5 linked regions of the Xenopus tropicalis genome follow. The protein of the gene in region 2 interacts with the protein of the main gene of each other region in a pairwise test. Links are inferred from orthologs where the notes say so. Each region holds a gene or a part of one and is shown on either strand. Other genes may lie near its edges.

Evidence for each region.
Region 1: the proteins of emilin1 (region 2) and zc2hc1c interact in binary tests that used the Homo sapiens proteins (3 or more experiments, as listed by UniProt). The two-hybrid records come from large-scale screens. The link is inferred for Xenopus tropicalis from reciprocal best matches to the Homo sapiens genes EMILIN1 and ZC2HC1C.
Region 3: the proteins of emilin1 (region 2) and mtmr9 interact in binary tests that used the Homo sapiens proteins (3 or more experiments, as listed by UniProt). The link is inferred for Xenopus tropicalis from reciprocal best matches to the Homo sapiens genes EMILIN1 and MTMR9.
Region 4: the proteins of emilin1 (region 2) and plac9 interact in binary tests that used the Homo sapiens proteins (3 or more experiments, as listed by UniProt). The two-hybrid records come from large-scale screens. The link is inferred for Xenopus tropicalis from reciprocal best matches to the Homo sapiens genes EMILIN1 and PLAC9.
Region 5: the proteins of emilin1 (region 2) and ift20 interact in binary tests that used the Homo sapiens proteins (3 or more experiments, as listed by UniProt). The two-hybrid records come from large-scale screens. The link is inferred for Xenopus tropicalis from reciprocal best matches to the Homo sapiens genes EMILIN1 and IFT20.

Annotation. Positions count from the first base shown.
Region 1 is NC_030684.2:82,251,229-82,255,729, forward strand, and holds the start of zc2hc1c (zinc finger C2HC domain-containing protein 1C), read left to right. Parts: upstream 1-1,627; coding exon 1,628-1,644; intron 1,645-2,594; coding exon 2,595-2,715; intron 2,716-3,719; coding exon 3,720-3,783; intron 3,784-4,501. Other genes in the region: acyp1 (acylphosphatase-1), read right to left, coding at 279-359.
Region 2 is NC_030681.2:161,480,974-161,485,448, forward strand, and holds the start of emilin1 (EMILIN-1), read left to right. Parts: upstream 1-1,478; 5' UTR 1,479-2,843; coding exon 2,844-3,031; intron 3,032-4,475. UniProt on the Homo sapiens protein: Involved in elastic and collagen fibers formation. It is required for EFEMP2 deposition into the extracellular matrix, and collagen network assembly and cross-linking via protein-lysine 6-oxidase/LOX activity.
Region 3 is NC_030681.2:150,907,966-150,912,625, reverse strand, and holds the start of mtmr9 (myotubularin-related protein 9), read left to right. Parts: upstream 1-1,520; 5' UTR 1,521-1,629; coding exon 1,630-1,811; intron 1,812-4,660. UniProt on the Homo sapiens protein: Acts as an adapter for myotubularin-related phosphatases. Increases lipid phosphatase MTMR6 catalytic activity, specifically towards phosphatidylinositol 3,5-bisphosphate and MTMR6 binding affinity for phosphorylated phosphatidylinositols.
Region 4 is NC_030683.2:53,034,919-53,039,561, forward strand, and holds the start of plac9 (placenta-specific protein 9), read left to right. Parts: upstream 1-1,524; 5' UTR 1,525-1,763; coding exon 1,764-1,824; intron 1,825-4,643.
Region 5 is NC_030678.2:47,406,734-47,410,020, reverse strand, and holds the end of ift20 (intraflagellar transport protein 20 homolog), read left to right. Parts: intron 1-417; coding exon 418-521; intron 522-1,189; coding exon 1,190-1,271; 3' UTR 1,272-2,082; exon of another isoform or gene 2,083-2,116; 3' UTR 2,117-2,498; downstream 2,499-3,287. UniProt on the Homo sapiens protein: Part of intraflagellar transport (IFT) particles involved in ciliary process assembly. May play a role in the trafficking of ciliary membrane proteins from the Golgi complex to the cilium.

The sequences.
Region 1 (4,501 bases), on a different chromosome or scaffold from region 2:
GCCAAATAAGGACTGTAATGGGCTATTTGGTAGCCCCATATGGATTGCTAGCCTGCTGGAGGCTCTGTTGGAGTAAAATTGTGTCTCTGCTTCCAAAATTTTTCTCCAAGCCAGAAATTTGGCACCTACTTTGAGGCCACTGGGAATAACATCAATGGGTTTGGTGAGAAACATGTTGCTCACTGGCCTAATATATACATGACAGAGGAATACACTGTAAATAAAGAAAAGGGTAAACTGAATTGATATGAAATAATGGTACCTGGATGTCAAATTACCTGGGTGTACTTGCGAAAGAAAACACCTTGTACCTTTCCAAACACTTCATAATCCACAGAGATTGGCTCTTCCTCAGCCATGCTCCCCCTTAAATGCAACAGGGAACTAAACTTCTGAACAAGCCTTAAAAAAAAAAAACAACAAGAGCTTATAAGGTTTGTTCAGAGCTAAACTTCTGAACAAGCCTTAAAAACAAAATGTATGACATTTTTAGGGGAAAAAATTGTCTATTATAATGGAGTGTGCTCCCTCCCATATGCATTTAGAGGGTTGCCCAGGTAAACAGAAAAGCAGTCTTAGTCAGAATTTGCCAGTCACTTTAACCTTTCACAGTGCTTAAAATACACAAATCCCACCAATGATTTACCTGCACTGCAATGAGCTATTTTTAAAACCAGGGCATTAGCATATACTGTATGCTTTATGGAAATAAATAGGGAGTTGAGGTGATAATGGTTACTTATTAGACATGTATAGTAAAAGTATAAAAATGTTAAAATATTGAATTAGATATGCACATTGTTGTGGTATAAAATACATATATAGACAATTAGCACATGATGAATACCTTTGAAAATGAAGCAATAAATTCCCAGCACACCAGAAAGCTACAGAAATTGCTAAATGTGGTCATAGATCCTAAGGAAGAACCATTCAGAACTTTATTTTGCTAAGACTGGAGAGTTACTAGAATTAAACAGATACTACTTATTTGTACAGAATACAGACCATATGGAGAAAAGGCTAGATAGTATGTCCAACACCTGGGCAATTCTCTGGAAAACCTTGGTTTCCTCAAGGTAGCAAACAATCGTTCCACAGCAGCTGCAGCCATATCATCATGAGGACAAATGTAGTAGATGTGATCTACTTTGCCAAACGTTTTGACACAGTCCTGCATGAAAACACCCCCAACTTCCTGCATGCAATGATTTTTGTTCAAATAGTATTCAAGAAATTATAGGGTACGCTGATTTCCATTATTTATAGATGAAAATATGCAGTTTTGCACCGATAATATTGACACTGTTACTTCCCCTCTAGAATATAAATGGCTAGCGTCTTTTCTTCTTCTACTTCACAGGTGCAAAACATCAACCCTATTTTCTACGTGTTTTAACGTATAAAAGGGCAACGGAAACTATGTTTGTTAAACAAAAATAATATCCCAAATTAATTTTTTTCAGTAGCTAGAGTAATTTGTTAGATGCAGCCAGTCTTGTAAGAACTAACCTCCGTTACTATAGCAGCGGTCGGACAAACCCAGCCTTCTTTTCCTGCGGCGCCCAGAATATTGCGTCACCACTCGCACACGTAGTTTGGCTGCGCCAGTTGTTTCCTAGCAACCATGGATACAGCGCGGAGGTAGAAGAAGAGCGAGAGCAACTGGTAGGTTTGGGAAGTGGTGGGCACAGTATAGTTGGCAGGCTTTATATTTAGTCGGTGTTATCAATTATACGACGGTATAGAGGCATATATGCTAATGCACGCCTAATACTCAGGTTAGGTTTAATAGCAACATGATTAGGCCACAAAGCATTATGCGCAGGAGTGTTGATATTATACTGTATAGTATAACCGTGGGTTGCACTGGGCCTTTTTGCCTTTTCCCTATCTGTAAGATGTTGGTAACAATTGGATTGTGTGTCAGAGCTCTATATATTTCTCTAGCTTTGACGTATATACGCGTATATACACTCACTGTGTCACTTTCCTGATTAAGGAAAATGAGAATAGGTGTGAGTACTGTGACTACTCTGTTAAAAAACTATGAAAAACAAATAATGAAGACTGATTGAAAAGTTGCTTAGAATTGGCCTTTCTATAACATACTAAAAGTTAACTTAAGGGTGAACCACCCCTTTAACCTTTTTCAAACAGCTCAATAATTAGGGCTTGTGCTAGGCTTACTTTTTGTCTTTTGTTTAAATTAAGAAACCACTGTTTATTGTTATTTCTTGGACTAAACAACAACATAAAAAAAACCTCTTAACTTTAGCACACCTTGTTTATGCCAAGTCACTGTTTTCATGGGACAAGCTTGTAAAACACACTAGCAGCCCAGAAATACGCTCTCTGTATAATGAGTTTGTGATGTTATGACACCCTGACAAACCAGAACGCATGGGAATGCTGGTTGTATAGTTAAACCCGTAGAAAGCGGTGCTTGAATATTGGGAATTGTGAAGATTGCATTTAAATTGCACCCCCCCCTCGAATGGAAAGCTGGAAACGAGCAGAAGAGCAAGTCAAATAATTCAAGAATGTAAAAAGAGAATTTTGTTTTACTTATCATTAAATTCTTTTCTCTTAAGACGTCTACGGGATACAGCATCCACCACCCAGAGACTGGATACTAAAGAAGAAAATGTTCCTCCTCCCTGCTGTTATACCCCTCACTACTTCCTGAACCCTTCAGTTTTGTATAACAAAGAGGTAATGATAGTATTTTCTACTGAATTATATATATAGTGTTGCAAAGAATCGGCACTCACCAGTATCGGGCACAGGCTGGGTGCTGACAAAAATAATACATCAAACTCAACAGTAGAAAGCACTCACAGCTACAGCATCAATCAGGTCAGTGATTTATTTCAGCATACCATCTACGCGTTTCGATCACCACAGGATCGTCATCAGGATGATGACGATCCTGTGGTGATCGAAACGCGTAGATGGTATGCTGAAATAAATCACTGACCTGATTGATGCTGTAGCTGTGAGTGCTTTCTACTGTTGAGTTTGATGAATTATATATATATATATATATATATATATATATATATATATATTTTCACTGGGGTAGGGACATTCCTCATGGAATGTTTATAATTTTGCACAAACAAGGTATTTACCCTTGGATTGAGAAAAGCTCCTCCTTGAGAATGATCCCTCAGTACTGCCCTCAGTAAGACTGTGTTGTAAGACTTAGAATCAGTCTTGTTCCTAAATGGTGAAGAAATATACCCTCCCTAGTGCCTGTCTCTTGCTCTGCTGGATGGTTATGATTAGAAGCACGTACTGCCCTGATAGTGCTGCCCTCAGGATCAGATGGAGAGCAGAGGGTTTTCTGGGCGGTGACTTTGTTGGAAAGCGGGAGAATGCAGAGTTGAGGGGAGTATTCAGGGAGCATCCTGAGAAAGTCTGCGTAAAGGTGGATAGTAACCTTACCCTTTCGCTGGTATGCTGTACAGCTTCAGACTCCCCTTGATTGGGAGTCAGGGATTCTGCAGTGGACAGCTCCTTAGGAGGAGTTGTTAGTCCCAGCACCAGCGAGCCCACCAAGGGGAAGCCACTAAAGAGGGGAGTTCGCTCGGTCAACCCCTGTTGAGTTTGGTACACTCTACCCTGTCTCTTTAACACTGAAAAAAACTGAAGGGTTCAGGAAGTAGTGAGGGGTATAGCAGCAGGGAGGAGGAGCATATTTTTCTCTTCTTCAGTGTCCTGCCTCCTGGCTGTGGATGCTATACTTGAAGGCGTGGTCCCTGTGTCCGACAGACACCTGTAAGAGGAATATAAAATGAATCCTGATTGAAAAGTTGTTAAGAATAGGCCATTCTCTAACATAATTAACAAATGTGAAATTCCCCTTTAAAGGAGAAGGAAAGGCTATGTCACTGGGGGATGCCAAAATGTTAGGCACCCCCCAGTGACTTATTGTTTACTTTTGACCCTGGGCTGGTGCTTCTGTTAGAAGAAAACCGCATCAGCCCGGGGTAGCTGTGAGCAAGCATCTCCTCTTCCTTCTTCTGTCTTTGTGCGCAGTAGAGTGAAAAGCAGAACTTTAACAAAAAAGTTGGTTTTTTCACTCTACTGCGCATGCACCGGCCCCAGGATTCAGAAGGAAGAGGGAACACTCACTTGCAGCTACACCGGGCTGGTGATTTTTACCTTTCGTTCTCCTTTAAGGTTGCAGTGCTTTTATTTACATTGTGAACCTGATATTTAAGGTGCCCATACACCTAAAGATCCGCTCGCTTGGCGATGTTGCCAAGCGAGCGGATCTTCTCCCAATGTCCCCCACCTACCGGGGGCAAAATCGTGAGAATCCAGGCTAATTAGATCGTTTGGCCCTGGGCATAGGCAAAGTCGGTCCGGGGAACGCATCAACGAGCCGATACGGTCCCCGATCCGACTAGATTTTTAAACCTGCCCGATATCGGTCGGGCAGTCCCTTCGGTAGTGCCCATACACGGGCCAATTAGCTGCCGAATCGGCAGCT
Region 2 (4,475 bases):
CTGTATATATGTTACATACGTGGGACATACTGTTATTATGGTTTACATACGTGGGACATACTGTATATATGTTACATACGTGGGACTTACTGTATATATGTTACATACGTGGGACATACTGTATATATGTTACATACGTGGGACTTACTGTACATACTGTATATATGTTACATACGTGGGACATACTGTATATATGTTACATACGTGGGACATACTGTATATATGTTACATACGTGGGACATACTGTATATATGTTACATACGTGGGACATACTGTATATATGTTACATACGTGGGACATACTGTATATATGTTACATACGTGGGACTTACTGTATATACGTTACATACGTGGGACTTACTGTATATACGTTACATACGTGGGACTTACTGTATATATGTTACATACGTGGGACTTACTGTATATATGTTACATACGTGGGACATACTGTATATATGTTACATACGTGGGACTTACTGTATATACGTTACATACGTGGGACTTACTGTATATATGTTACATACGTGGGACATACTGTATATATGTTACATACGTGGGACTTACTGTATATACGTTACATACGTGGGACATACTGTATATATGTTACATACGTGGGACATACTGTATATATGTTACATACGTGGGACATACTGTATATATGTTACATACGTGGGATGCATTGGCATTAGGTGAAGGGATGACTTCCATAGGGACATGTTCCTTTCAGGGTGCCATTGCTGGTTGCCAGGGCACACAGACCAGTTACAGTTGTGAGGTGCTATAGCGGCGGTGGGTTGGGGGGAATTAGTGGGGGAGAATGGGCTAATGGGGTACCTGGCCAAGTAGTATTGCCCTGGGCAGCATTTATTGCCCCTCCACGTGCAACTGACTGGCACTTAGTGACTCACATACAAATAATGGTGCCCCAGCCGGGGTGAGTTGTGCTGCTCGGTAGCCTGCGGGCACTGGCTATTGGCTGGAATTCTGGGGAAAGAATGCTGCCTGCTGATTGGCTGGATTGAGCACTAGTGCATAGGGGGATTTGGGTGGGGGTCCCTGTAACAGGCACCTCTTGTTCTACTTTTGTTCCAGCACCCAAGGGCATTTACCCTGTGCCTGGGCTACAGCACCGGGGGGGGGGTCACATGAGCACCGTAACCCCATAAAGCGCCCGCAGCCCCCCCAGAATCCAGGGGCACATTGGGCTCTTACAAGGACTGATACAAAGCCACATCTGGCTCATTAGGGCAAGTCTGGCCGAGGGGGGGGAGCCGGGGTTGCACAGTAGTGAGCATTGTGAGGGTTAATCTGGATCTAATCCTGAGAGCGGGGCAGGAAGTTGGCCAAGGGGGGGGGGGGGGGGGGGATTCTGCATCTTTCTCTCCTTTTAGGATTTCCCTCTCTCCTCCTCTCCTCCCCCTCCTGGTCAGTCTCTTGCTATGGGGGAATCTCATTACTGTCTCCTTGGAGTGCTGGATGCTGGCTGGGGTGGGCTCGGGCTGGGGGTCTCTCTGTGCTGGGGGTGACAGCAGTCAGGGGTGCAGGGGGAGATAACGACACCCCAACAATTAACTAAACTTCCCATCAAACTTATCCCGGGAACGAGAGCTGCAACTGGATCAGCACCGACCGACTGGGTCCATCTTTGCTTGTGTCTCTTCAACTACTCTCAGACGTGACCGCAGCTGGTGACGACAACAACTGTCTACAAATAGTAGCCCTGCAGTCTCACTGGGGAGTCCTGAGCGAGAACACACCGACGGGTCACGGGGCACATCTGGAACTGAGCACGACTGGTCCAGCTGGGAGCTTCATGGGCACTAACGCTGAGTTCTAATTGGACCTGGAGAGATATCAGAGCTAAGACCTGGGGAGACATCAGCACTGAGACCTGGGGAGACATAAGCACTGAGACCTGGGGAGACATCAGTACTGAGACCTGGGGAGACATCAGCATTGAGACCTGGGGAGACATCAGTACTGAGACCTGGAGAGACATCAGTACTGAGACCTGGAGAGACATCAGCATTGAGACCTGGGGAGACATCAGCACTGAGACAACTCTCACCAATGTGGAGATGTTGAGGAGATAGTAGAAGGGAGAGCACAAAATAGTCCCTCTCTGATCTAAAGGTGAGTGGGGGCTGCAGACTGTAACGGTTACGGAGTCTGTATGTTGGAGGCACATGATTGGAGGAACCAAGCCCACAAAGAAGTCCTGTGGATCTGCTTGGAGGAACCACCAGGGAGCATTTTCAGACTGCAGCTGAAGACCTTCCTCTGATGTGAGGATCTACTGACCACTTGGGGCTTCACTCTGATCTCTATGAGGTTCTATTGGCCACTGGAGACCTCACTCTGATCTCTATGAGGATCTACTGCCCACTGGCGACCTCACTCTGATCTCTATGAGGATCTATTGGCCACTGGAGACCTCACTCTGATCTCTGTAAAGATCTATTGGCCACTGGAGACCTCACTCTGATCTTTATGAGCATCTACTGGCCACTGGAGACCTCACTCTGATCTCTATGAGGATCTATTGGCCACTGGAGACCTCGCCCTGATCTCTATGAGGATATTTTGGCCACGGGAGACCTCGCTCTGATCTACAGCAGGATATAGAAACCACTGGAGAGGTCATTTGGTCTACATGTGGATATAGGGACTGCTGAAGGTGATTCTAATCCCTATACGTTCATACTGACCACTGAGGAAGGCTCATTTTGGATCAGTACCACTGATGTTCTGCTGAGAGACCGCTGGGTCTTTGCCGGGAGCTGTGGGATTATAATACATTGTGTCTCTTTCAGGCATTTGCTCTGCTGATTCTCAGCCCTAAAAATGGGCGTCAGGACTCTGTTGCTCCTACTCAGCTGTGTAATCTGTATAAATGTGAGGGGGGTGCACCCCACAAACTTCCCCTCCCGCTATAACCTTTATACGGGGGGAGCTGCCCCTCAAACCCAAGTGATGACTGCACAAGGGGTAACTCAGGCACAAAATGGACTTCGGGCGGCCAGCAGGCACAGGTAAGTACCCAGCATGCCAGTCATTTCATGTATAAAGCTTCTGAGGTACTGGGGGGGCCACTGGAGCTCCAGGTATTGGCCGTAGTGCAAACCACATGTGCTGATTCTCTGCAGCTGGAAAACGTGAGATCTGAACTACTACGTGAGCAGGGAGCCCAGGGGGTGGTACTCTACTCTGTATTGCTAGCAGGGAGCCCAGGGGGTGGTACTCTACTTTGTATGGCTAGCAGGGAGCCCAGGAGGTGGTACTCTACTTTGTATGGCTAGCAGGGAGCCCAGGGGGTGGTACTCTACTCTGTATTGCTAGCAGGGAGCCCAGGGGGTGGTACTCTACTCTGTATTGCTAGCAGGGAGCCCGGGGGGTGGTACTCTACTCTGTATTGCTAGCAGGGAGCCCAGGGGGTGGTACTCTACTCTGTATTGCTAGCAGGGAGCCCAGGGGGTGGTACTCTACTCTGTATTGCTAGCAGGGAGCCCAGGGGGTGGTACTCTACTCTGTATTGCTAGCAGGGAGCCCAGGGGGTGGTACTCTACTTTGTATGGCTAGCAGGGAGCCCAGGGGGTGGTACTGTACTCTGTATTGCTAGCAGGGAGCCCAGGGGGTGGTACTCTACTCTGTATTGCTAGCAGGGGAGCCCGGGGGGTGGTACTCTACTCTGTATTGCTAGCAGGGAGCCCAGGGGGTGGTACTCTACTCTGTATTGCTAGCAGGGAGCCCAGGGGGTGGTACTCTACTTTGTATGGCTAGCAGGGAGCCCAGGGGTGGTACTCTACTCTGTATTGCTAGCAGGGAGCCCAGGGGTGGTACTCTACTCTGTATTGCTAGCAGGGAACCCAGGGGGTGGTACTCTACTCTGTATTGCTAGCAGGGACGGGGGTGGTACTCTACTCTGTATTGCTAGCAGGGAGCCCAGGGGGTGGTACTCTACTTTGTATGGCTAGCAGGGAGCCCAGGGGGTGGTACTCTACTCTGTATTGCTAGCAGGGAGCCCAGGGGGGTGTACTCTACTCTGTATTGCTAGCAGGGAACCAGGGGTGGTACTCTACTCTGTATTGCTAGCAGGGAGCAGGGGGTGGTACTCTACTTTGTATTGCTAGCAGGGAACCAGGGGGTGGTACTCTACTCTGTATGGCTAGCAGGGAGCCCAGGGGTGGTACTCTACTCTGTATTGCTAGCAGGGAACCCAGGGGTGGTACTCTACTCTGTATTGCTAGCAGGGAAGCCCGGGAGTGGTACTCTACTCTGTAATTGCTAGCAGGGGAGCCCAGGGGGTGGTACTCTACTCTGTATTGCTAGCAGGGAGCCCAGGGGGTGGTACTCTACTTTGTATGGCTAGCAGGGAGGCCAGGGGGTGGTACTCTACTCTGTATTGCTAGCAGGGAGCCCGGGGGGTGGTACTCTACTCTGTATTGCTAGCAGGGAGCCCAGGGGGTGGTACTCTAC
Region 3 (4,660 bases), about 11 Mb from region 2:
CAATGCCTCCTATAATCTAGGGCTAGAAGCAATGCCTCCTATAATCTAGGGCTAGAAGCAATGCCCACTATAATCTAGGGCTAGAAGCAATGCCCCCTATAATCTAGGGCTAGAAGCAATACCCCATATAATCTAGGGCTAGAAGCGATGCCCCCTATAATCTAGGGCTAGAAGCAATGCCCCTTATAATCTAGGGCTACAAGCAATGTCTCCTATAATCTAGGGCTAGAAGCAATACCCCATATAATCTAGGGCTAGAAGCAATGTCTCCTATAAGCAATGTTCCCTTCTTATTTTGCCCATGTAACTGTTTCCATGCCAAGCCCAGACTGGATTACCCTGCCATGGAAGGTGCCACAGCATTAGATACCCCTGTAGAAATATAATGCCTTCTAGATGTTTACGGGGATGTGTTCTTTGTATCTGCCTTTGTTACAGTGATGTTTGGGTTTACTTGCTGGTTGAAAGGATTGGGCAGCCATTGCAGGATTGGGCAGGGATTGCAGGATTGGGCAGGGTGCGGGTCAGACTGGGGAAGTGCATCCTCCTCCTACATTTTATAGGTTAGTGGTTGGGTTGAGTGGTGAGTCTCTGACCTATGTTCATACCTTCCAACTTTCCAGATATTTTTGGGACAGTCGCAATTTTAACAGCTCAGCCCACAGTCCTGGGTTCTTATTAAAAAGTCCCTCATTTCCCATTGAAAGTCAAAAACGATACAAAGTTTCTCAAACTTAATTAGATAAGTAGCTTTTGACAGAGCCTAGAATACTCACCTCCTGCACTGAGATACAATTGTAACCATAACTCTCAACTGTCCTATTATTCGCTGGACAGTCTCGGATTCTCACTGAAAAGTCCCTCATTTCCCTTTGATCTCCTGCACTGAAGCTAAAAAAGATACAAATTTAATTAAAAGTAGCTTTTGGCAGAGAGCCCAGAAATCTTAACTTGCACTTAGATACAGTGTTTCCCACATTTAATTAAATAAGTAGCATTTGGCAGAGCCCAGAAAGGTAAACCCCCCCCCTGCACTGAGATACAATTGTAACTAATAAGCTAAACAGGTCTCTTGGGGGAACGGAGACTCATTAAAGGGCAACTTCACCTTCATTAGCAAACTCTAATAACACATAAAACAGGACCCCCCCAGAAATGTGTTGAAACTATAAATAACCTGCCAAATGGAGTCATATGGGAGTGGGATTTAGGGGGCGTGGTCACAAAAATGTTGCCAAGCTACAGTCATTTCTTTTTTTCAACTGTTGGGAGTTATGCATCGCTTTGTTCCCTATACAGAGCTGAAGAGAAAATGTTTTTTGCTATACTGTTTCCAAACCAGTGCGTTAAAAACAAATACTGCTCTACAAACTATATGTATAGATAGTAGTCTAACCACTTCTGGTGCAAAGCCTCCCCTGCTTGGGAAACTGAAGGCACAAACTACCTCAGAACACAAGTTGACGCGGGTTATCCCGCCCCTTCCGCTTTGGGTCTGTAAACTTCCGGCTCGGTGGCCGCGCATGCGCGTTGGGCGGAACCCGGAGCTGCTGGGTGTCTCACTGACAGGAATGAGCCTGAGGGAATCCGCTCAGTGATTTCTCCCTAGCGCCTTGTCCCGCCGCCGGGATGGAGTTCGCCGAGCTGATTAAGACTCCTCGGGTGGATAATGTGGTTCTACACCGGCCCTTCCACTCCCCGGTGTGGGGCACCCTCTGTCTCACCGGGCACCACCTCATCCTCAGCTCCCGGCAGGACAACAGCGAGGAGCTCTGGCTTCTACACGCCAACATCGACTCCATAGAGAAGCGGTCAGTCCTGTTATACAGGGACAATGAGTATCACTCATGTATTATAAGGGATAATGTACCCCCTACTGTAAATGATAAGGATATTAGCAGTCACTGAGGGGTTCTGTGCCCCCCATATAAAGGCACAAGGCTGCAGGCTGAGTTATACAGGGAACTCTGAGTATCACTCATGTATTATAAGGGATAATGTACCCCCTACTGTAAATGATAAGGATATTAGCAGTCACTGAGGGGTTCTGTGCCCATATAAAGGCACAAGGCTGCAGGCTGAGTTATACAGGGAACTCTGAGTATCACTCATGTATTATAAGGGATAATGTACCCCCTACTGTAAATGATAAGGATATTAGCAGTCACTGAGGGGTTCTGTGCCCCCCATATAAAGGCACAAGGCTGCAGGCTGAGTTATACAGGGAACTCTGAGTATCACTCATGTATTATAAGGGATAGTGTACCCCCTACTGTAAATGATAAGGATATTAGCAGTCACTGAGGGGTTCTGTGCCCATATAAAGGCACAAGGCTGCAGGCTGAGTTATACAGGGAACTCTGAGTATCACTCATGTATTATAAGGGATAATGTACCCCTACTGTAAATGATAAGGATATTAGCAGTCACTGAGGGGTTCTGTGCCCCCCATATAAAGGCACAAGGCTGCAGGCTGAGTTATACAGGGAACTCTGAGTATCACTCATGTATTATAAGGGATAATGTACCCCTACTGTAAATGATAAGGATATTAAAAGTCACTGAGGGGTTCTGTGCCCATATAAAGGCACAAGGCTGCAGGCTGAGTTATACAGGCAACTCTGAGTATCACTCATGTATTATACGGGATTATGTACCCCCTACTGTAAATGATAAGGATATTAGCAGTCACTGAGGGGTTCTGTGCCCATATAAAGGCACAAGGCTGCAGGCTGAGTTATACAGGGAACTCTGAGTATCACTCATGTATTATAAGGGATAGTGTACCCCCTACTGTAAATGATAAGGATATTAGCAGTCACTGAGGGGTTCTGTGCCCCCCATATAAAGGCACAAGGCTGCAGGCTGAGTTATACAGGGAACTCTGAGTATCACTCATGTATTATAAGGGATAATGTACCCCCTACTGTAAATGATAAGGATATTAGCAGTCACTGAGGGGTTCTGTGCCCATATAAAGGCACAAGGCTGCAGGCTGAGTTATACAGGGAACTCTGACTATCACTCATGTATTATAAGGGATAATGTACCCCCTACTGTAAATGATAAGGATATTAGCAGTCACTGAGGGGTTCTGTGCCCATATAAAGGCACAAGGCTGCAGGCTGAGTTATACAGGGAACTCTGAGTATCACTCATGTATTATAAGGGATAATGTACCCCCTACTGTAAATGATAAGGATATTAGCAGTCACTGAGGGGTTCTGTGCCCATATAAAGGCACAAGGCTGCAGGCTGAGTTATACAGGGAACTCTGAGTATCACTCATGTATTATAAGGGATAATGTACCCCCTACTGCAGGGCTGTCCAACTGGCGGCCCGCGGGCGGCATGCGGCCCTCGACCCCCCTCTGTGTGGCCCCCCACCTGTCTGGCTGCTTTGATGGCTTAACTTTGTGTAAGCTTTAAATGGTATCAGTACTGAGATTAACTGCCCCCCGCATGGTTATCACCTCAGATTCAGGCTGTAATCCCCTGTGTTGTTCACACCTTTTAATCTCTGCATTGTTCTACCCCTGCAGTGTTCACACCTCAGGCTCAGGCTGTAATCACCCACATTGTTCACCTCTTCACACCTCAGACATTGTATGTACTGCCTGGCCTATGCTGCCTGCGTATAGCACATAGGCAGCATAGGGCAGGGAGGGTATGGCACACTCAGGCAGCATAGGGTAGGCATAGTATGGTACATAGACAGTATAGGGCAGGGAGGGTATGGAACACACAGGCAGCATAGGACAGGCAGAGTGCTGCCTGTGTGTGCCATACTCTGCCTACCCTATGCTGCCTGTGGGAGGTGAACCTGGCAGGGGTTTGTGGGAGTTTGTTAGCAGTTGGAAATAGTCATTATATGGTCCCTAAGGTGTGTAATTATGTGCTGGGGGTTGCTGTGCTACACACAGGGGAGGAGGCATATGGATTTAAGGGTATGTCTTAATATGACATAATATAATTCTTTAACATATGAATGATGGTTGATATCCCTGCAGCGACCATTGTGATAAAATGGGTGTGGTTTAAAATGGGGGAGTGGCCAAAACTGGCTTCCATTAGCGGCCCTCCACCATGTATGCGAGAGAAATTCCGGCCCTCGGCACCGCAGAAGTTGGACAGCACTGCCCTACTGTAAATGATAAGGATATTAGCAGTCACTGAGGGGTTCTGTGCCCATATAAAGGCACAAGGCTGCAGGCTGAGTTATACAGGGAACTCTGAGTATCACTCATGTATTATAAGGGATAATGTACCCCCTACTGTAAATGATAAGGATATTAGCAGTCACTGAGGGGTTCTGTGCCCATATAAAGGCACAAGGCTGCAGGCTGAGTTATACAGGGAACTCTGAGTATCACTCATGTATTATAAGGGATAATGTCCCCCCTACTGTAAATGATAAGGATATTAGCAGTCACTGAGGGGTTCTGTGCCCATATAAAGGCACAAGGCTGCAGGCTGAGTTATACAGGGAACTCTGAGTATCACTCATGTATTATAAGGGATAATGTACCCCCTACTGTAAATGATAAGGATATTAGCAGTCACTGAGAGGTTCTGTGCCCATATAAAGGCACAAGGCTGCAGGCTGAGTTATACAGGGAACTCTGAGTATCACTCATGTATTATAAGGGATAATGTACCC
Region 4 (4,643 bases), on a different chromosome or scaffold from region 2:
CAGCCTCCAGTTACATCTGTATATATGTGCAGATAAAATAATGAACAATCTGTGCACTTAAATTAATAAATATAAACAGATTTTAACCTTCATTATTATAAAAGGAGTAGGAAAATGAAAATGTTAGGCACCCCAGTGCTTATATTCACTTACCTGACACCCCGGGTTGGTGTTCCTGTTAGCAAAAACACCGCACCGGCCAGGGGTACATGCAGGTGAGCAGTCCTCTTCCTTCAGTCTTGTTTCCTGAGTCAAAAAGTCTTCTTTTTTGTGAAATTTGTGAATACCATCACTGGGGGGTGCCTAACATTTTGAACATTCCTTCTCCTTTAAGGCATATACATATATATATATTTTAATATACATGATTTTTTGTCGAAGTAAATAAAAATGTTGCTTTTAATATGTTGTATACAAAATGTGATACAGCTGTTGCTGTTAATATCTTCTATAAAAGTAACTAACCTATAGTACATCAGCATTTTTGGGGCTGCTGTCACCCCCACGCGATCTGCGCTTACCTCTTCACCATCAGAGTGGGTCCAGGGGAGAAGCCACATCACTTAGCACTTCTTGCACTAGGGGAGCCAAATTTAAAAAAATAAAATTTGGCTCAAAGTTACCAAAGTCATTTTTTGTTGCCCTGGGTAACTGGCGGCTCAATGCCACCTGAGTCAAGGTTCTCATCTTGCCTCAATGGCAGAATTGCCCCTGCTATAGTAAGCTATTTTTTACCTACTTTTGGATAAGCTACTTAGGCAGGTTTAATTTTAACTTGAAAGGTTAAACTTAATGGACACGTGTCTTTTTTCACCTAAGTTACTATGTTGCTATTTAAGCTACAGCCATGTATATTGAATGCAAGTTACTAGTAACAAGCTATTAAAGAATTTGAGACAAGGTCTGAGAGGTTCCAGTGTGGGGCTTGTAAGTAACCCATATCGCATACAAACATAAAAGAAAATACATTTTGGCTCTTAAAAAAACTGAAAAATGCTGGCATTCATTATATTAACAGGAAACCCAAAAAATAATTTAATTCTAATTCTCTTTTTCAATATACATTATTGATTTTTACTGGTTTTAACTGTAAATGTATTTGCAGAGAGCATTATTTTACTGTATGTCTTATATTGCTGGATATGACTCTTGAAACAATGTAGTAAATTCCAACTCACCCCCAGCCAAAACTTGTTTTTTCAGCTGGCTTCTGCTACACTTCACTAGTCACTTCCAGCATGGGAGAATTGCAAGGGTTAGAGACATACTGCTCAACAGCAATTGAAAATAATTTGACAACTATCGAAAAATTGTAATTAGGAAATATTTCTTTTTGGGTTTACATCCCCTTTAATGTTATATGTTTTTTTTGTTCTATTTTTAATTTATAACAGGACCATGACCATAACCAAAAGGGTTAAAAAGTTTGATTCTTTTTACCCACTTTTCCTGAAAGGTTAAAGGCTGGCTTTTGAATTCCACGCACGCCCTGTGTGTATAAATACAGAGGGGAAGCTAGGAGTCACTCTGGATTCTTGCCAGCTTGCTGAACAACTGGGTCTGCTGTTTGAGAACTTTAAAAAACAATCCAGGCAGTTATGTGATTATTTCCTCTCCTTCCAGTTACAGGCAGGCGGCCCCTCTCCTCTCTCCCTTTCTGTGGCAGAGTGCTGCACTATATCCATCCACAGAATTCTGCTGATCGGAGAGCCTGAATCTCCTTGACTTTATTACTGGGAGTGAATTTTATACCTAACATCAACATGCGTATTCTTCTTGCTGCTGCTTTATTATTGCTGGGATTATTGGCTGGCAGTTTTACAGGTTAGTACAGATTTAAAACTGTTATAGTTAATATGTGGTTCGACTCAAAACTATGTTTCTTTCAGACAGGCAAACAAAGCAACTCTAAGGCTATCTTATCATTCAGTACTTATGTTTTTTGAGTTTTCAGTGACATACAATTTAACAAATAGATCATTAACAAGCATTGTTACATCTGTCAGATACAGTAACACCTCTTATACATGAAGTAAAAAGGCATGGATGGCTATTGGCTTGATTCTGTCACATTTGTCACATCACACTGAATTTTTGACTAATGGCAAAAGTTATTGGCACAGTTATTTCCAAAAAGTAGTACTCGTTAACGAATTCATGTAGCAACATCTAGCAAGCCTAATTCAGTGTATGTAGAATGATACTGGTAATAAATCTGTATTATTGCTAGTTTTGGTAAATCCTGAGGCACATTCTGCATTCAGATAAACACTATGGCTAAACAAATACAGTATAAGCATTTTATGTAGCCAAAAGTACCCTAAAAACCCTTTGTCACGTCATCAGTAGAAAGATTTACTGCCGAATTCTGGTGTCTTTGGAAGCAATGTCAGTACTAGAACTATTTGTTGGAAGGATGGCATTTTTAAGAGTGAACAGCTGCACACAAGCCTAACACAACCATGTGCAATGCAAAGCTTTGGCTTGAGAATAGTAAATATTGCCACCATTGGACGCTGGAGCAGTGGAAAGGCATTCTCTGGAATGACAGGTCATCATTTACTATTTAAAATTCTGACAGATTGTTTTCAAAGGATTCCACGAGAATGCTGGCTAGTGGAATGATTAATGCTGACCATAAAGTTTTGTGAAGGTGGAAACATGTTTTGACAATCCTTGTTATATGGAAAGAGTTTAGGTGGATGGCCCTTTTCTGTTGTAGCCCCTATACACAAAAGAAGAACTGTTTTGCTATGTCTGGAGTGGAACTTGACTGTCCTGAACAAAGCCCTCACCTCAACCCAAATGAATACCTCTGGGATCAGGGGCCTGTTGCCATGAAACAAGTTACTGTGGCAGCAAATATCCGCTCCTGATAACTTCCGATTTTTAAATTGGAATTTTGGCTCTTGTAGTGCACCTCTGCGATACTTTGAAAGGTAAGCATCAGGTGCAGGGGGGGGGGGGCATCTGAAAGACCACCTTAGGGCAGCATAGACCCCAGAAATGCCCCTGTCCAGGATGAAATGAGATGCCAGCTGCATGCTAGGCCTGAACACTCAGTGTTACAGGCCTAATGCCCTTGTTGATAAATAGAAGCATCATCCCCCCATGCACAACAGCATTTAGATGAAAGCAAGAGTTAAGAAAAAAGAAAACACTAAATGAAGGACCAACTGTATATTAATACCATTGCTGGGAAAGCAGGTGCCTGGTTACTTGTAGCCATATAGTGTTTAACCATTGACCACTGATAGTATAACCATTGACCCTTTAGGATATTTCCTCACTGACTATATTCCTAACATTCATACATCCAGGTTTTACAGATACTCTGTGTCTTTAGGTCCCATCTGTGTGCTCCCACTTATCAACCAATACTCTTTTGTCTTTTTTTAATCCCTTGGGACATTTCTGCTTAAAAGGCCCCAATCTTTTCCACAGAGCATTGTACCTTTGTTCCTTGTAAGTTATCAGGGCACATTCTACATTTACATTTTGTTCCATTGCATCACTCCTTACGTCCACCAGTGCCTCGTCTTGTAATCATAATTGGTTTTACTCTCAAGAACTAAGATTTTGAAAGTGACTTTTTGACCTGTGGAGGATAAAAGGAATCATATCTTAATAGCATATTCATCTCCATTTCTTTAGTAAAGAAAGCTGTGTGCAAAGTCTTTAACCTCCAAAAAAGGCTTCATGTCCAATATCAGGCTAGAAAAAAAAATCTAGTTATTATGTTGCTGCTGACAATACCAGAGCTTGAATGTCTGACAAGTGTTCTGCAAGTCATATAAAAATGTGGGTGAGGCATCCAAAGCATTACTTTCAGCCTCTGGCCCCTTCTGTGATGTGTACCCCATAGGAGAGTCTGTCATCTCCTGTTTCTCAGACCACTTTGCTAGCCGTCAAGGTGCATATTCCTGACAGACAGGGTCACTAAAAATGGAATAAAGGGCCATTTGCTCAGTGCTGCCATATCCCTTATTTTAATCAGGTAGGTTTTTTTTAGATGATGGCCTCTTTAAACAAGGTGTAGATACCTTTGAATGCATTCTACCATTCCATAGTGGGTCACTCTACAAAGGAAACATGATGGCTCCAGGCTCAAACACCATATCCATAATTCATCCAGAGGGTTGCTTCTCAAGTGGCCCTGCCATCCTGCCTGCCTTCACTACAGTTTAGAACTCCAGCACCACCTCTGCTGCAATTTGGCCTGTTTGGTCAAGTTAGTGATGTTTACTTCTGTCCTTAAGCTCCCTTATGAAGACGAGCCACATGTCTATGTCCTCAAACCCTTAAGATATGTCTTTGTAAATGGCCTTCTCTAGACAGAAGGCATGCAATGTCTAAATATTTGAACTAAGGTAAACACTCATTGGATGTCTTCTGTTCACCACAACTGTAAATCATTTTAAACTGTTACTAATGGTTTTCAGAACCTTTTTTTCTGATTTTCTTCCTTCTTTCCTCCCCTTACTTAACAAATTTTAGAGAACGTTTGAAACTAATTCAGTACCTGCTGGCTTTTTCACAGCCTCTGGAGCTACCCGCTCTTCCCCTTGGGTCCCTTTTGTTGTAACATGTTCCCTCTTGTGTGTTAATGCCCCCTGCCAATTGTGTATGCAACTGCCCATCAA
Region 5 (3,287 bases), on a different chromosome or scaffold from region 2:
ATTGATGCATGGTTATTCAATCGCTGCTAAACACATCAGCTCATTAATTCCATTATATTCTGTCTGTTTGTACTTATGTGGTCAGAATTTATTTTTAATTGCAGTCGTGTTTTCTTTTCTGCATTGGGGCATTTTTTGCACTTGACACTTGATAATACAATAGAGAGTTTTGTGGTAAACAAAAGCAAGCTTAGTTTTAGTAGCACAATATATGCGTTACGATGCATTCTTAGATGCAATGCTATGCAGCTTTTCATTTGATTTAACTGCTAGTAATACACTTTGGTCACAGAGCACAGCAATCAATCTGCTGTAGAAATACTTTGTCTTGAATAGTGCTTGGTAGTCCCACAGCACAATGATCAGCTGAGTGTATGGCCAAACATTTAAATAATAATGTATTTATTTCATTAATAGGCAATAGGTGCCCGGAACTTATTAAAATCTATAGCAAAGCAAAGAGAAGCCCAGCAGCAGCAACTGTATGCCTTAATAGCAGAGAAGAAAATGCAACTAGAAAGGTATGTATTTACCAATGGGCAAATCCTGTGCCTGTATGTATTCAGTTTAGTCATAAGTTGCATTTATTTGCTTATTTGTGCATAAGGTGGGTGGTGCAGCCTGAGGAACAGTTTGTGCAAATATTAACTCTACCAACTTTGTTATTTGCTCCACCAATTGTCATCAGCAGCAAGACTTCTCTGGATTAGCCTTTTAATTGAAGAAGGATGATGGCGGTGGTCTGTCAGTATATATAAAGCTGGAGGAAGATATTTTCTCCATGAATAATTTATAGACAAACGTTTAGCTTGAATGGAACATAATGAATACAAGGCACAGCCTGGGATAGGTTGAGGATAACTGCAATGTGTCATGTTTTGGAGTAGAGAAAGGGGCACCCTATAAGATATAAAATGCCCCCACAACAAAGGGTGCTTCGGTTACACATTCTTTATATTAGCAGGGTTAAAACTGCTAACATGAAATTAAAAAAAAAAAAAAAAAACGCACATATAATATACACACACACACACACACATATGGTAACTGCAAATGTGCCTATAAGAGCAATATTAAATGAAGTTATATGGGTGTGCAGATGTCCCCTATAAGTAGGACATAATGGGAAATGGCTCTTCTATATCTGGGAGCTTCCTGGATAATGATTTCTATTGTTCCTTTCTTTCAGGTACCGAATAGAATACGAGGCACTGTGTAAAGTGGAAGCTGAACAAAATGAATTTATTGATCAATTTAACCTCCAGAAATAGCACCACTTGCAGGCTGTGATTGCTCTGGCTGACTGCGCGGGTCGCTTTATTTTCCCAGCAAGAATTTCTTCTCAGTACACACATTTCATTGCAATTCCAGTTGGACATTGCAGCACTGTTCAATAAAACATTCCTCAATACTACTTGCTCCTTTTGTCTAAAGCATTCTCGGACACCTGACCAAGCTCTGCTGTTTCAGACATTTCATCGTAAAAGAACAAAACCAGCATTTCTCTCCAGCAAGTAACCGGTCAAGAAGCTTTAAGAGATACAAGCCTATTTTTAAATCATTGTTAAACATTAAAATGTATTATTATACTTTCTATCTGCCCAAGTGCTTTTTAAACCATAGTTTAAGTACAGTTATTAGATGCTGGACACAATGTATTTAATGCAACACATCAGCACATTTAAGAATGTGTATTTCCTGCAATGAACAGTCATGCATCAGTAATAGCCGCTTAGCAGGGATTATGCTGGCATATTTTGGCTCAGCTTACCCCACCTAAGGTTATCTAAACCCTGTTTTCACCGATATCTCACCCACTTGAATCATCACTGTGAAGTTATAGGCAGGGCTTTGCATGTCTGTAAAGATTACGGTTATATATATTTTTGACATTGCCTTTGCAGAAAACGCTGTAAGAAGAGCAACTTTGCTCCATGTATGCTTATGTGCATATGGGGACAACTCACATCTTAAAAATAGCCTCACAGTTTGAGAGAAACAGATTTAAACGCTTTGCAGAGATGGGCGGTTATTATAATTGGAAATGTGAAGAGAATGACAGCAAAATTTGCCTATATATATATATATATATATATATATATATATACACACACACACACACACACACACACACACGTACATCATTGGTACTTTAGCAACAACATTTCTATAGTGTGTTCTTGTTCATCAGGGGAAAATACCCCACAGTTCATCTTAAATCAGAAGTATTGAAAAAGCCGAGCAACGGCGACGGGTAACGTTTTTATTGGTACGTTTCTACATACATGTTGGTCGTGACTGAAACTGGAGTTGGATTTGTTTAGTTTTTAATGTATCTCATTTTATATCATTTATTTGCACATGTTAAATTGCTTGGAGTGCTGTTGATCAGTGGATGGATAAGTATTGTGCTCTCAGTGCATAGAAACAAATGTTTTATATGGATGCTTTTTTGTGTACATTTAATTTGCCTCGATTTATAAAAAAAGAAAAATGTATCACAATGCTTCAACTGTGCTTCTGTTCTTTAGGCAATTGTTAATGCCAGTGTACAAGTGAGCAGAAGGGACAGGGTGCAGATAGCAGCAACAGCAAAAGGTGCCTCACAGCTTGTTACACAATTCCAATATTGGAAACTAGTTACCTTTTGATGCTCGGCTTATGTACTTATTGACAGTAGACATCTTTGGTGAGACCACATTCAACATAAAATGTATCTACTCCCTGCCACTGTTTCTCCATAGCCGCTTAGATTTGGAGAGAACTTTAGGGAATCTGATATAGTTCTTTTTCTCTAAATTATAGTTTGTTCACTCTAATTTTCTGCAAAATTGTGCTGTTAGCAAAAAATAAAAAAAAGCTCCCCCCTCATGGGGCAAGTACTAAAGCACAACTACATTGGTTTGATCTCTGGGTGCTTAGGAATACAGAGTAAACATGTATAAATCAAATACAATAATTCAGTTACCCGGAGAGCACAATGAGCCTTATAGCTTCATCACAGCGACTTTATTGTGGAGACCTCATGCATTTCAAGCACCTGAAGAAGGCTGTTGAGGTAAAACATGTAGTGCATGAAGTCTCCACAATAAAGTCACAAGTCACTGTAATGAAGCTATAAGGCTTATTGTGCTCTCCGGGTAAATTAATTATCATATTTGTAACTATATGCAGCCACCACGGGAGTCTGCAACCTGTTGAGCGGCACTAACTAAGAACAGATACTGCTAAGGACAACTAATTATTTGCGAATGTATAGATCAACCCACATCCCTTCCCCAATGATT